Lonchura striata: one gene and its partner. The protein of the gene in region 1 interacts with the protein of each later gene in a biochemical or structural test. Links are inferred from orthologs where the notes say so. Each region holds a gene or a part of one and is shown on either strand. Other genes may lie near its edges. The genes, in order: TOP2A and PIAS4.

Region 1 (8,168 bases):
AAGGACCCCCTGGTCCCCCAGGATCTGCATCACTCCCTGGCAAACCAGGGCTCCGAGGGGAGCCAGGATTCCCAGGACCAAAGGTAAGGGAGTCCCAGCCCAGCCTGTCCTGGGGGACAGGGCCCTGGGGGGGGATGGGGTACCTGGGCTCACCAGCCCCCAGCCCTGCCCTGGGGGAGCAGCCCCATTCCCCAGCCCTCAGAGTGCTCCAGGGCTGCCCCGGGACTGCCCCAGTCCTAGCACTGAGGGGCCCAGGGAACACAGGGGCTCCACTCCACACTCACCACCCTGTGCCATCTGTCCTCAGGGTGAGAAGGGCGAGCATGGGCTGCCAGGCATGCCAGGGAGCCCTGGCCGGACCGGAGAGCCAGGCTCCCCGGGCATGCCCGGTCCCATGGGGCCACCAGGACCACCAGGGGACTACAGGGTGAGTAGGGCGTCCCGAGCTGTGGGTCCTGGGTGGGGGGAATGCCAGTGTCACCCCACACATCCTCTCTTTGCAGTGCGACTCACGCCACACTGGTCACCGTGGATTGGCTGGGCTGCCAGGTCCCAAGGTGAGCTGGGCACCATGGGCAGGAGTCCTGGGGAGGGGGCATGGGCACAGCACTGGGCATGGCACCCTGGACAAACAGCTCCATGGTGGGTGGTACCCTGGCTGGGAGGCTGGGAGGGCTGGGGACCCCCAGAACTGGGCACTCACAGGATCTGTCACTTCCCTTCCAGGGAGAAAAGGGCGACCCTGGAGAGCCGGTTTGTAGCCACCAGCAGCAGTGTGGGGGGGGGTCCCATCCCCATCCCCACACCTGAGTGTGCCCCCCTGAGCCCTCTGTGCTGCCTTTGCTCCCCCAACACCCTTCACCTACCCCCGGGGCACAGGGTGTGGGAGGAGACACACCATGGCACACACGGGGCACACACGTGCACACCTGTGCCACCCATAAACATCCCCAGCACACCCCAGACCCCCCCCAGACTCAGCACGGACTCTAATCCTGCCTCTCTCTGCGGCTCACCCAGGGGTGCTGCTATGGGGAGCACGGGTGCAAACCAGGGCACCTCCCCTTCCCCAGCACCGGCTCATGGGGGTCCATCAACAGGTACCAGACGGTGAGTGGCCAGGGGAAGGGGTGCCCAGGGACCCCAGCCCAGCCCTGGGGACGTGGTTCACCCCACTGGCAACCCCACGGGACGGGGTTGGAGGAAGGAGAGGGGGAGAATGGAAAATGGAGAGAGAGGGAGGATGGAGATCAATCTCAGTCTTCCTTTGCAGGATGGGAAAGATGAACCAGAGATTTATGGAGCGATCATCCCTCATGTGAGAGTCCCTGCCTGGCCGGGGTCTGCGCTGCCCCAGCCAGGGACATTGAGCCCTGGGAGGGGACAGGAGTGGGAAGCGTGGGGGACATCAATTGGGTGTCAGAGCTGCCCCCCTGAACGGCAGCACCAAAACAGCCAAGTTCAATCTCCACACTGCTCTACCACAGGGTCTTCGAGGTCCCCCTGGGAACCCCGGTCCCCCTGGGCCCCCCGGCCCCCCTGGCCCACCAGGTCTCCTCTACCTCAACGTAAGGCCCAGCACTGGTGTGCACACGCCTGTGCCAGAGCACACACACGTGTGAGTGTGCACAGCACCAGGGCCCCCCCAAACCTGCCTGTCTTTGGTTGCAGAGGATGCACCCCGTGCATGCCCAGCAGCCCTGCAAGCAGCCGGTAAGCCACGGCCTCGCTGCCCCAAGAGTGTCCCCATCTCCTCCCTGTGCATCAGGAGGGGTGTCCCTCTCCCTGTGCCCAGCAGCAGACACAGACTCTGTTTGCCTTCACAGGCACCTGCAGATCGCAGCTGGCCATCAGGTGAGGAGGTTTCCCAGGTGTTTTGGGGGCTGCAGCCTCCCTGGAGACACTTTTCCTAAAGTCTTGCCTCCCTTCCTTGGGTGCCGGGACCGTGCAGCACGGGTCCCTGGCACCACTGCTGGCTCTCCCACCCACTCCCACCGCATCCCTGTGGGGCCAGTTCCCATGGGAGCATCCAGGCCCTATGCTGGGACACCTTGTGACCCCCCACCATCTCTGGGCTCTGCAGATGCTGGTGCCCCTCAGACAGAGCCATCGGACTCCCGCGCTGATCTCCGGGTGCGTCCAGGCTGCGGCCCCAGGCAAACCCCCCCCAGCTGCCCCGTGCCCCACAGCAGGAGCCTCACCCTCTGCCTTCCCCCAGCGCCAGACGTGGGTTTTCAAGTCCAAGGAGCTGATGGTGAAGGCGAGCAGTGCTGTGCCCGAGGGGAGCCTGGTCTATGTGCGGGAAGGGAGCAACGCCTTCCTCCGGACCCCCGCTGGCTGGAGCCGCCTCCTGGTACCGTGTGGGGTCCCTGGCAGGGCTAGGGGGGCAGGATCCAGGGCTGGATTTGGCACTAGGGCAGCAGATCCTCAGGAAGGAGAGGATTTCCCCTAACCTGTCCCTCTGCTTGTGTCATTGAGCAGCTGGAGGATCCGAAGTCGTTCTTGGCTGGTGATGACCCTTCTGCCTCCACCCCGCAGTACCAGGTGAGGGGTGCAGGAGCTGCTGGGTCCACTCATGTCCCTGTAAGGTGACAGAGCCCTTGTCTGCATGATGAAGTGGACAGACCTCACAGGACTGTTTTCTCCTTCTTCTTCCACCTCTCCATCCAGGAGGTGAAGAGGGTGCAGCCAAGAGGTCCCAACACGCTGTCACTCATGCAGTCTCCAACAGACTCACTGGTGAGCCCTGCTGAGGGTCTGGCCATGCTGGGAGGGATGTGCATAGCATGGGCTGGATGTCAGCAGGGCAGTGCCAGCTCAGCATGAGCAGAACATGGGGTTGTGTTGGTCTGGGGAGGGTGCCCCCAAGTCATGGCACATGGATGCGTGTCCCCAGACTGATCTGAGCTGTGTTTTTGCAGATCCAGAAGGAGGAGGAACACGGATTGCCCCAGATTCTGCCAACCACCACAGCCCCACGGATCCCATCTGTAAGGAATGCCTGGCCCCAGGGTGGGGATGAACAGCCAGTCATGGGAGAGGGGGGAGAGGTACCCAGGGGACCCCCAATTCTGGCCAGCACTGCCAGAGGCTCACACCCTCTGAGAAGAGAGGAGCAGAGACCTCCATTCCTCCCTGCCGCCCCCAGCTCCGCCTGGCTGCCCTCAACGTGCCGCTGTGGGGTGACATGAGCGGGATCCGGGGCGCTGACCTGCAGTGCTACCGGCAGTCACAGGAGGCCGGGCTCCACGGCACCTTCCGGGCCTTCCTGTCGGCCCCCAGCCAGCACCTGGTGTCCATCGTCAAGCGGACAGACAGGAGCCTCCCCATTGTCAACCTGAAGGCAGGTACCCCGTCCCCAGGGGTGGCACAGCCTCACAGCCCCCGTGAGCTGCTGTGGGTGGGGGACGCCCACCCAGTCCTGCTGCCGTGCTCAGGGATTTGGGGTGCTGGCAGAGCAGAGAGGATGTCATTGCCCACACAATGCTGGGGACAAGGGGCATTCTCCTGGCCCCTGGCTCAGCACCGTGGCTCGTGCCCACAGGGGCAGCTGCTGGCCAAGTCCTGGAGCTCCCTTTTTGGGGGTCAGTCTGGTGCTGTCCTGCAGAGTCCCATCTACTCCTTCAACGGGCGCAACATCCTGGCAGATCCCCTCTGGTGAGTGTGGACAGGTCCTGGATGGATGGCCCTGTGTGGGAGCTGGAACGGGGGGTCTGTGCTGGCTCCCACCCTGCAGAAGTGCAGGAGCAAAGAGCTGGGGCACCCCAGGGTGCCCCCAGCCCCTCTCACCCTGTCCCCACCCACAGGCCCCACCGGCTAGCCTGGCACGGCTCCACGCCACGGGGTGGCCATGCCCACCGGTGGGATTGCCAGGGCTGGCGCAGCTCTGGCTCAGCCGAGGGCATGGCCACTGCCCTGGGCGAGGGCCGGCTGCTGGCCGGCCACCGCCACAACTGCTCCATACCGCTGGCCGTGCTCTGCATCGAGGTGGCTTTTCCTTACCGGCACATGTGGTGACAATGGTGACACGCAAGCAGGAGCTCCAGGCATTCTTCCAGGCCTGTGTGGCTGGGGAATGTCCCCGGGAGCACCATGGGAGGTGTCGGAGCTGTGTCGGAGCACTGAGGGGACACCGGGTGTGCAACCAGACTGTGCCATGCCCAGCTCCAGCTGCGCCATCCCACAGATCCCCGTGCCATGGGGCAATGTTAGGCTGTGCCTCCAGCCTCCTAAACCCACTGGAGTCAACACGGTCACCACCCAGAAATAAAGATACAAAAATGTTGGTTTTTATGACACCATGCTTTGTTCTGGGGGCACATGGCAGCAAGGGACTGAGGGGACACACCCGGGAATGGGAACAGGGACTGGAAGGGCTGGGAGCAGGCTCTAGTCCCCTGGGGATTGGCAGTAACTGGGAGGGGACACCCTGGCACAGGTCTGCATGTCAGCAAGGTCTGTTTTGGTCTCAGAACACAGTGTGGTCCAGTATATCCCAGCCAAATCTTGCTAAGTGTATTCCTGTGGGTTCCTGAGGCCCTCCCAGTGTATCCCAGTGGGTGTCCAAGGGGTTGGGACATTTTGTCCACTGAAACCCAGTGATTCCAAATGTATCCCAGTGCATGTCCAGGGTCTGCCCAGTATCCCATGTCCAATGGGTCTGTCCAGTGTCCCAGTTCAATAGGTCCCAGTGAATCCCTGGGGCTTGCCCAGTGTGTAGCAGTACCCCAGTGGGTCCACAGGGTCTGTCCAGTGTATTCCAGTGTGTGTCCGGGGGTTCCCAGTGTGTCCCAGTGTATCCCAGTGTATCCCAGTATGTCCCACCACCAACGGCAAACGGGAACCTCCGGCACCCTCCCTGCCGCTTCTCTATTGGTCCATCCTGCTGTCCATCTCATCGCTCTCCCTCCCGACTGGCCGGTTTGAACGCGCGGTGCGGCCTCTGATAGGTCAGAGGGCGGGCAGAGTTCCAGCCGTGTGCCCGTCCCCGCACTGCGATTGGCAGAGCGCCGGGGGCCGCGAGCGGGGATTGGCCGCGCGTTTCGGCGGGACGAGCGGAGGTTTGAAGGGTCGTTGGCGCCGCCATCACCGCCTCAGCCGCTCTGGCCGCCGCCGCCGCCGCCATGGAGCTCTCTCAGCCCTCGTCACCTCTCCGGGTGCGTCCTGCCACCACCGCTGCCCCCGACCCTGCGGAGCTTTGTGATCCGCCTCCATACCGTCCCCTCGAGCCCCCCTCAGCCCCGCCGGGCACCCGCAAGTTCGCCCTGTCCCCCCCTCAGCGTTTCCCCGGGTCCTTCTCAGCCCCCTCCTTGGGTCTCCTTCAGGGTATCCGCAGGCCCCTCTCTCGGCTCTTTTCCCAGCCCTCCCGCTCCTGCGCGATTCCGATGCTCTTCCCCGCCTCGGCCTGGCCCCATGCGTTGTCCCTGTTCGCCCCCTCACCGCCGCTGCCTCTCCCCCACAGCCCGCGAACGAGAACATCCCCGTGGGCAAGGCCGATGGCCCCAAGAAGCTCACGGTGGAGCACATCTACCAGAAGAAGACGCAGCTGGAGCACATCCTGCTCCGGCCAGACACCTACATCGGCTCCGTGGAGCTCGTCACCCAGGTGGGAGCAGGGGGCAGCGGGGCTGAGCCCCCCGAGCACCTCGGGGCAGGCGGGGAGCTCTTAGCAGCTGTTTACAAAGCACAAAACATCTGCTTATCAATCACAAAACAACTGCTTTACAAACTGATGCGCACGGAAGAGGGGTTGTATCTGGGCACTTACAGATTCCTTCTTTTTTTCCCAGCAAATGTGGGTTTTTGATGAAGGCGTTGGCCTCAACTGCAGAGATGTGACCTTTGTGCCTGGCTTGTACAAAATCTTTGATGAGATTCTGGGTAAGCTGACATCCATTGAGTCAGTGAATGACGGGTTATTAACGGATATAAATTAGTAAGAACTTATTAGCACTGCTTAATAGCAAGCCATTCATTTGAAACAAAGAAAAATTTCAAAAATCTAATTACAAACCTGCCCAAAATTCTCCTTTTTATGTCAATGGTTGCACTGAAGGAATTCAGAGGTCATTTCCAACCTTCATAATTCCATGATAACTTGCACTCCTCTTTGTAATTTGCAAAATATTTTCATGCTGAGATGATTATTAGCAACACTGTAGTGACTTTTTATGTTCATTCTACTGGAACACTTCATAATTCATCATTTTCCCTTGATTGAGAATGTAATAAAAAAAAATATTCTCTTTCCTTCCTAGTGAATGCTGCAGACAACAAGCAGAGGGATAAAAACATGTCATGCATTAAAGTCACAATTGATGTGTAAGTTTGGTTTCATTGTTGTTGGTTGCCTTCAGCTGTTCTGCAAAGCTGAGGTGGCACTGCAGGGCTGTGGGGCTGATCTGAGATAGCCCAAATTTAATTCACCAGTTGTGGAAAGCCTTTCTCTGTGCTTATTCCCCTGGTCTCTTACAGAGGCCTGACTGGGGAAATGGCTGCTCTTTCGTTGCTGTGGTTTTCCACCTCTTCCTCTCTCTTTTCACCCTGATTGAGCACAGACAGGGGGGTTTTGTGTGTGGGTCCATTTCAGAGCCGGCATGTGCAGATCTGGGCATTTCTGTGTTGCCTGTCCCCCCTCTGCTGGCAGCTGCTGCACTTGCTGAGCACACATTTGTTCCTGGTGAAATGGTGCCTTTTCCTCAGAGCCTTTTGGTGACTTCTTTCACAGCTCAGCCATTTGCAGCCTTAAAAACAGACTTTTCTTTCCCTCCCCAGAGAGAATAACACAATCAGTGTGTGGAACAATGGGAAAGGTATCCCAGTTGTTGAACACAAAGTGGAGAAGGTCTATGTGCCTGCTATGATCTTTGGACAGCTGCTGACATCCAGCAACTATGATGACAATGAGAAGAAAGTCACAGGTGAGGAAGGCTCTGGTATGCACTAATACCTCTGAGCAGCTCTAAGTGTGTGACCTGAACTAGAAAGGGCAGGAAGGGAGTCCTTAATGCAGTCTGAAAACTGAACAAGGGGAAATTTAGATGAGATATACAGAAGACATTCCTCTCTGTGACGGTGGTGTGGTTCTGGCACAGAGAAGCTGTGGCTGCCCCACTCCTGGAAGTGTCCAAGGCCATGTTGGACAGGGCTTGAAGCAACGTGGGCTAGTGGAATGTGCCCTGCCTACAGCAAATAGTGGGACTGGATGGGCTTTAAGGTTCCTTCCAAACCAAATTATTCTATGATTCTATGAAAATGATGTTCTGAATCTATCAGAGAAGTCTATGTGCTCTGTTTAACATAACAACAGTGCAAACATGGGAACAGGGAAAATGGTCTTTGAATATTCTCTTAAACCCTAATTAAATCAAAGTTTGTAATTGCATACTAAGCTTGTAGAATATTGTTGCTTCTTGACAGTTGTCTTAGAATTGGGTGGACATTGACAAACTCCAGTTAGTCTTGGATTCTCTTAGATGGTTTTGGACAAAGAGAATAACACAAGTCTGTGTTCCTTCTAATTCCAGGGGGGAGAAATGGTTATGGAGCCAAACTGTGCAACATATTCAGCAAAAAATTTACTGTGGAAACTGGATGTCGTGAATACAAAAAGTTGTTCAAGCAGGTAGGAGCACTTTTCTTTCCAGGGAGTTTATAACTGAGGTTTTCAAATGAGATCCTAAGGTTTTGTTTCAAAACTAGTTCAGTGTGATTAGAGTAAATTTGACCCACAAAATGTAATTCAAAGGAATAAAGAAATTAGCAGACAGCATCAGAATCTGGTTTTTAACCAGAGTTTTTGTTTAATTCAAAGATATCTAAACCACATAAACCATCTTACTGCTTTTAAAGACTAAGGTAGTTATGTGTGTGTTTGACTTGAAAGTCACCAAAGTTCCTTTCCTCAGACGTGGACAGACAATATGGGAAAGGCTGGAGAAATGAAGCTGAAATACTTTGATGGAGATGATTACACCTGTGTCACTTTCCAACCTGATCTGTCCAAATTCAAAATGACTGTTCTGGATAAGGACATTGTAGCACTGATGTCTCGAAGAGCCTATGATATTGCTGGATCCACAAAGGATGTCAAAGTTTTCCTGAATGGACAGAGGCTTCCTGTAAGTGAGCATTGAAAAGAAACACAAATATCTGGGGTTTTTTTTTGT
Region 2 (7,457 bases), on another chromosome or scaffold:
CCTGGAGCGTATTCCAGGGAGGTCAGTGTGTGAGATAACAGAAGCACAGGCTACAACCTGTCCTTCCTAAACCATAACATCCTCCAGAATCCCAACCTCCTCCAGCTCCCTACAGTTCTCCAGCACGCATAAAGGGCTCCATTCCCAGATTGTGGATTTAGGCTTTTCCTACTAATCCCAACCGTGTTCTCCACCCCTTTTCTGGCCCCTCAGAGTCCTCACACGCCCTGTGGCAGCACAGCCACCAGGTGCATCCCCAGAGACGCTCCCAAGAGTCTCCACACCGCATCCATGGACATCCAACAATCCTGGTGCTGAACTGGGAGGGTGAAGCTCCTGCTTCCCCAATGCCCAGCAAACAATTGCTCCATGATTGAGCAGAAGCCAGTCAACACTTGCTCCACCATTCAAGACCCTCAGGAACATGACATGAGCTTCTGGACTAGACCAAAGTCCAACAGCACCTCCTGGAGGAGTCCAATCCCCCCTGAGTTCAGCCCAGGCAGCAGCAGGAGTCCGAGGGGAGGGCACTCACGTGGATTTGATGGTGATGCACCGTTCCTGCTCGTCCTTGCGGGTGTCGGTGAACCGGGTCTCCCCGGCCCGCGCTGAGGCGATGATCCCAGCCTTGCACACCAGGGAATCCGTCAGCGTGGACTTGCCGTGGTCCACGTGGGCGATCACCGACATGTTCCTGATGTTGGCCTTTTTATCCATGATGGCCCGTATCTGGTCTACTGTGAAGTTCACCTTGAAGTAGGGGAGGAGGGGGACTCAGCGCGTACAAAAACAGCTTTGGCAGTTCCAAGGAAGCCGACTCTGCCCTAAACACCCGCCACGACCGCGGTGACACCACCTCTGCCCGGGTGACAACACAACCCGCAGCCAGGGCAGCGCAGCGGGGCTGCGGCACCGACCCCTCCCTGCCCCGGTGGCCCTCCAGCCGCGGTGCCAGCGGGCGCAGGGCGCCCCCAGAAGCGAGCCCGGCCCGGCCCGGTGCCGGCCCGGCCCGGTGCCAGCCCGGCCCGGTGCCGGTGCCAGCCCGGCCCGCAGCGTTACATAAGGCACGGCCGGCACCGCAGCGCCCCGAGCCCGGCGCTGCCACATCAGCGCTCCCGAGCCCCGCGGCACAACGGCGGCCCCGGCACCGGCCCCGGCGGTCCCGCCGGTGTCACGGCCGCCCGGACCGGCCCCCTCCCGCCGCCCCACCCTCTCCCCGCAGCCGCGGCCCAGGCCGGCAGCACAGGCCGCAGCCGCCGCCGTGTGACCGGCGGCGCTCGCGGAACTGCCATCCCCGGCGATACGGGGAGCGCGATGGTCGCTAATCCCGCCGGCAGCGGCGGCGGGCGGCGGGGGCTCACCATGGTGGCGGATGGCGGCGGATGCTGCGGGGCGGGGGGGTCACGGCAATGGCGGCGGCTCGGCCCTGTCTCGCTGGCGAGCGCAGAGCGGGCGGAAGAGAGCGCTGACGTCAGCCGGCGCCCTCTTATAGGGCGGCGCCGCCGAGGGGCGGGGCCGGCGCCGAGCGCGTGCGCGGCCGCGCCGCTCTATCCCGCGCGCTCTATGGCCGGGAGGATGTCCCGCCTCGCCGGCACCACGTGGGGGTCACCGGGGCTGCACCGGGACTGCAGCGAGGCGACACCGGGGGAACAGCGACCGGCAGCGGCAGCCCCGCCCCGCCCGGGCTGCAACGGGGGGGGACAGTCCGCCCCTCCCGCTGCCGGTGTAGGAACCGGCTCGGAGCAGTGAGGCCGCCCTCGGAGCGGTATCACCGAGCGGCAGGCGAGCACGGGGGCTCAGCCGCTAGGAGAAGGCGGTAGGGCCGAGCCCGGTGGCAGGCAGCGGTCCGGGATCCCGGTGGGTCCGGGACACCTGTGGGTCCGCCTCGCCCCGCTCCCGCAGGGGGCTCGCAGTGCGCATGCTCCGGGCGGGCCGGTGCCGCAGCGCCCCCTGCGGGCAGGGAGGAGCGCGGCCGCACCGGGATCCGCACCGGGAGCGGCACCGGGATCCGCACCGGGAGCGGCCCCGGGATCCGCACCGGGAGCGGCCCCGGGATCCGCACCGGGAACGGCTCCGGATCCGCACGGGGAGCGGCCCCGGATCCGCACCGGGAGCGGCACCGGGATCCGCACCGGGAGCGGCCCCGGGATCCGCACCGGGAGCGGCACCGGGATCCGCACCGGGAGCGGCCCCGGATCCGCACCGGGAGTGGCACCGGGAGCGGCCCCGCGATCCGCACCGGGAGCGGACAAGGATCCGCACCGGGAGCGGACAAGGATCCGCACCGGGAGCGGCACCGGGAGCGGCACCGGGATCCGCACCGGGAGCGGCACCGGGATCCGCACCGGGAGTGGCACCGGGAGCGGCCCCGGGATCCGCACCGGGAGCGGCCCCGGATCCGCACCGGGAGTGGCACCGGGAGCGGCCCCGCGATCCGCACCGGGAGCGGACAAGGATCCGCACCGGGAGCGGACAAGGATCCGCACCGGGAGTGGCACCGGGATCCGCACCGGGAGCGGCCCCGGCCGGAGCCGCCCGCCGGGTCCGGTGGCACGGGGCCGCAGAGCTCGGGCTCCAGCCGTCCCTGTGCGCCCGCATCGCCTCAGAGCCGACAGAAACGTTGGAATGAACGGCTCGGGTCGGAAGGGACGCGGAGGAACATCCAGCGCCATGGCAGGGACACCTCCCACCATCCCGGGCTGCTCCAGCCTGGCCCTGGGCACTGCCAGCCACGGCTGCTCTGGGAATTCCATCCCAGCCCCTGCCCACCCTCCCAGGCAGGAATTCCATCCCAAAATCCCATCCATCCCTGCCCTCTGGCAGCGGAAGCCGTTCCTTGTATTCCTGTCCTTCCACCCCTTGTCCAAAGTCTCTCTTCCCATATTCCTTGTGGGGTCCCTTCAGGTCCTGAAGGCTGCAATGAGCTCGCCCAAAAACTTCTCTTCTCCAGGCTGGACAATCCCACTTCTCTCACTGGCAGCTCCCAAATTCCCAGCACATTCCCAGGCAGGATGGCCACGGGGCTGCACCCGGGATGGATTGACAGGATGAATTATCGGCCTCTGGGGTTTCCATAGCAATCTGGGGGATTTTTAGCACCAACCCTGATTTTTGCCAGCCTAGAAGGGAAAAGTTGGAAACCTGATGAGCATCCTGCTCTTCCTGAGAAATTGTTAATTGCCTTTTTGATTAATTAGTATGTGGGGTTGATGGCAAGGAGAGGAAAGTGCTGGAAAACCTTTCCCAGCGCAGCGTTTCACCTCAAACACTGAGGTTACCCTGAAATCATCCAGTCCAACTCCTGGCCCTGCACAGACACCCCAACACCCTGTCCCAGAGTGTTTTCCAAAGGCTCCTGGAGCTCCGGCAGGGTTGGGAATGTGCCCGTTCCCTGGGGAGCCTGGGCAGTGCCCACCACCCTCAGAGGCAGAACCTTTCCCTGAGCTCCATCCCAAATCCCCGGCACAGCTCCAGCTGTTCCCTGGCTCGTGTCCCTGCTCCCAGAGCAGAGATGGGAGCTGCCTATCGGGGAAAAGCTGCAAACCACAATGTATTTATTATTATCATTATCATTATTACTATTATTATTGTTATATGGAAGGTATTTTTAATAAGCAATGGGTTCTGTCGCAGAAGGGGCCACAAACACTGACCAGAGAAGGAACCGGGACCCATCCCCATCCCTTCCCCTCTACATCCCCCCAGCACTTCCCTCCTCACCGGGGCCGCCGGCGGAGCCTCGGGCCGAGCCCACCGGGCGCTGCCCTGCCCCGGGGCACCCACCTGGTGCCATCCTGGGGGCAGCACCCACCGCCTGCCCACCCCTTCCCCGTCCCGCAGTGCCCGCGGCACCGCCTCCATCCCCGGTCCCGCCGCCGTTCCCCCCCACCCCCGCCACCCCGCGGTGCTGCCCCGGTTTGCGGTGCGCGGCCCCTTTAAGACTCTCGCGGGGGAGGCGTGGCCTGGCGGGGCGTGGCTCGCGAGGGGGGCGTGGCCGGGGGGGCGCGCGCGGCGATTGGGCGGCGCTCGCGGCCCCGCCCCCTCCCTCCGCCCCGCCCGGCGCGAGGCCGTCACGTGACCCGGCGGCGGCCGGCGCGGCGGACGCTGCAGGCCCAAGATGGCGGCGGAGCTGGTGGAGGCGAAGGTGAGGGAAGCGGCGCCGCCGCCCCGCCCGCGGGGCCCGGCCGCCACCGGGCGGCTCCCGGCGCGGGCACACGGCGTGGGGGCGGTGCTGCGAACCGCGGGGGCGGCGCTCCGGGGCCTCCCCTTCGCCTTTTTTACCTCAGACACTGCCCCGCCCCGGCCTCAGGGCCGCAGCCCCCGCCGGACCTCCCGGCGCCGAACCGGGCCGAAGCGGGCCGCGGCGCTGCCCGCGCTCCTCGGGGCTGCCCCCGCCGTGGCTTTCCCCCCGAATTCCCGCGGGGAAGGCTCGCTGGTGCCGGTGGCGCTCCGGGGGTGGAGCGGCTCGGTGCGGAGCTGTCCGCTGGGACGGGCACTGCCGGGGGCAGCGGCGGCCCCGCGCCCCTCCGGGATGGGGGAAGCGCGGGTGCGCTCGCAGCTGTGCGGTTCGTGCCCTGCAGAGCAGCGGGAGCTTCTCCCGCTGCCCTCGGGATGGCGGCACCGCGGGACCGGGAGAGCGGCCGGTGCCCAGTGCGGTTGGGGAGCCCCGGCCGCGTTCCCGGGCGGTGTTCCCGAGGAAGCGCTCCCCGCCCGCAGGAGCAGCCCCTCGGCAGGGATGGGGCTGGCTGGCCGCAGCAATCCCACCGGGAGCGGCTTTTTTTTGGGGGGGCTCTGCAATTGCAGAGCGGGGAAGGCGCTCCCGGCATCGCGGTGGCCGCAGAGGGTTCTGCGGGCTCTGAGCCGTCCCGCACCGGCGTTCCCGCGAGCAGCAGCGGCCGGGAGCGTCGGGAATCCCGGCGATCCATGTGCTCTCCCTGCTGCCGCGGGGCAGCTCTCGGAGCTCTCTGGGTTTGCTTTGTCTGGGGTTTGTTGTTGTGTCGCTGCTCAAATCTCATCGCACTGCCGGGCCTTCATCCCTTCAAAATGGAAACTCTGCGCTCCGGCTCCGCTTTCCAGGCCAAGACTCCTGGTGAGGTGCTCCAGGAGGAATTCCTGTGCTCCTGGGATGCCCTGGTACCTCCTGCTGCTGTGTCTTGATGAATTTATCTTTCCAAATGCACCTTTTAGCCTCAAATCCCTCAGGGACAAGAAGACTCTCTCCATTTCCTAGCACACTTTAATGATCCTGGTGGGATTTCATCAGCCTTGATGATCTTGGAGGTCTTTTCCAACCTTAATGATCCTGATTCTTTTTTTTTTTTAGTTGAAGAAAACTGAGGCACAAAGTAGATTTCTCCAGGATTTCACAGGTGGTGTCTGGTGGAGCAGCACCATGAATCCAGGGCTCTGAAATTCTCACTTTCTGGCAATTAAACATCTTTTCTCTCCTCTTTAGTCATCAGTCTTTTTTTCCCTTCATCTGGGATATTTTGGGACTCATCACGACTCCCAGAAGTTCTAGCTACAGACAGTGACATAACAGCTTTTGGGTTTTCTGATTAAATGACATATGTAAGGGAAAAGGAGAAAATCAAATGGCATTTTCTCTCTCATTTAATTCCCACACATCCAAAAGTGGCTGTGAAATGTTTCTGGAAACAGTTGTAGCTTTCTTAATTAAAAAAAAAAAAAATCTGTAGCTGGTTTATTCCAGGAAATGATAAGATTGTTAGATTATCTTTTATGCTTTTTTTATTAATTATTAATTCAAGAGTGGGGTAGAGGCTGGGGAACATCTGCTGGATTTTTTTGGTGGAGTTTCTTCTTGAATTCCCATATTCCCCACAAACCAGGAAGGCTGCGGAGTGAATATCTACCAGGTTAATTTGCAGAGCAACTTGAATTTTCTCAGCTGTGTACTTTATAAGCTGTTGTTTTGCAATTCCAAGGCTGTTTGGTGTTTAGGGAGCTGAAATGCCAGCCTGGAGCTGTGGGTTTAATGGGGAGAATTCCTGGTTTCTGATGGGAAGTTGCCTTGTGGCCTTTGACTCTGCTGACAGTTACAGGCCAGACTTGCCCCAGAGAGGGAATTTTGGAAGGCTGAGCTGGGTTTTGCTGCTTATCAGGCACTGAAACTGATAACTGCACCAAGGCAGCTCCTGGCTGGGATCGCAGGGAAGTGCTTGGCATTGCTCTCCTGGGAACACTCTGCTCCCTTCAATAATCGGAATGTCCTTGCATGCTCTAAAATATGTGGGTTTTTACAGATCCTCTGCATGTAGGGAGGATTCTGGAGGGGTTTTCCCATCCAGAAATCCAGAATCGGTGGCCCCAGTTCACCTCAGCCTCGCCTAACTCATTTTGCTTTCCTTCCTGTGCCTTGCACTGACACCATTTGGGATGAAGCTTTCCGTGTTTCTCTGGGAATTCGGGATGCCTCAGGCTGCTGAAGGAGCTCATGAGCTCTTTCACAAGTGAGGCCTCTTGCTTTAGAGCTTTGAGGTCGCTCCTGCTTCCAGCTGGGCTGTCTCGAGGATGTTTAGCATCTGTCCGAGTGATTTTTGAGTCATTTGATGACTGTGCTGGTGGTTTTGTCCTTCAGGTGATATTTCAGTGGGTGATCTCTGCGTTTGCATTGCTCAAACAAGAACTGAGAGCCAAAATTCGGTTGACAGCAGCGGGTTTGGACAGGTTTGGGGTCTTTCTTTGAGGGGAAAATTTTGAATATCTTGCCTTGTAGCTATAAAGTGACAACTAAACCTTTGCCTTTTATAACTATGAGAACATCTTTTAATTTTTTATCCCCCAGAACATGGTGATGAGTTTCCGAGTCTCAGATCTTCAGATGTTGCTGGGTTTTGTTGGCAGGAGTAAAAGCGGACTAAAACACGAGCTAGTGACCCGAGCTTTGCAGCTGGTCCAGTTCGACTGCAGCCCCGAGGTGTTCAAGAAGATCAAGGAGCTCTACGAGACTCGCTACAACAAGAAGGGCTCGGAGGTGGCGCCGCCGCCGGCGCCGCACCGCGCCGAGGCGCTGGCCCTGCACTCGTCCTACGAGCGCGGCGGCGCCGTGCCCCGGCCCCTGCCCGCCGCCAGCATCGACTACCCTGCCCTCTATGGCAAATACCTGAACGGACTGGGCAGGTTGCCCCCCAAAGTGGCCAAGCCTGAGGTTCGCTTGGTCAAGTTGCCCTTTTACACCACGCTGGACGAGCTGCTGAAGCCCACAGAGTTAGGTGAGGTTCGGGGTGGGGTGGGGTGGGGCGGGGGGTGTTTGTGTTGGGAAATAAGTTGTGGTTGTAAAGGGGATTTCTAAAGTTGTGGGGTGGGAGAGGCTGATGGATAGGGTGGTGAGACCCACCCCCCCCTTCCCCCTCTCCCTCTCTTTTTCTTTTCCTCCCTCTCTCTTTCTTCTACCCGCTGTCTCCTTCACCTCTCTCTCCCTTTCCTCCCTCCCT

Evidence for each region.
Region 2: of the proteins of TOP2A (region 1) and PIAS4, one has a biochemical effect on the other in vitro, tested with the Homo sapiens proteins (2 studies listed by BioGRID). The link is inferred for Lonchura striata from reciprocal best matches to the Homo sapiens genes TOP2A and PIAS4.

Annotation. Positions count from the first base shown.
Region 1 is NC_134627.1:6,902,504-6,910,671, forward strand, and holds the start of TOP2A (DNA topoisomerase 2-alpha), read left to right. Parts: upstream 1-5,055; 5' UTR 5,056-5,123; coding exon 5,124-5,156; intron 5,157-5,461; coding exon 5,462-5,605; intron 5,606-5,789; coding exon 5,790-5,880; intron 5,881-6,257; coding exon 6,258-6,321; intron 6,322-6,774; coding exon 6,775-6,920; intron 6,921-7,526; coding exon 7,527-7,624; intron 7,625-7,907; coding exon 7,908-8,120; intron 8,121-8,168. UniProt on the Homo sapiens protein: Key decatenating enzyme that alters DNA topology by binding to two double-stranded DNA molecules, generating a double-stranded break in one of the strands, passing the intact strand through the broken strand, and religating the broken strand.
Region 2 is NC_134630.1:6,828,605-6,836,061, reverse strand, and holds the start of PIAS4 (E3 SUMO-protein ligase PIAS4), read left to right. Parts: upstream 1-4,055; 5' UTR 4,056-4,117; coding exon 4,118-4,144; intron 4,145-6,808; coding exon 6,809-7,235; intron 7,236-7,457. Other genes in the region: EEF2 (elongation factor 2), read right to left, coding at 536-750, 1,362-1,364.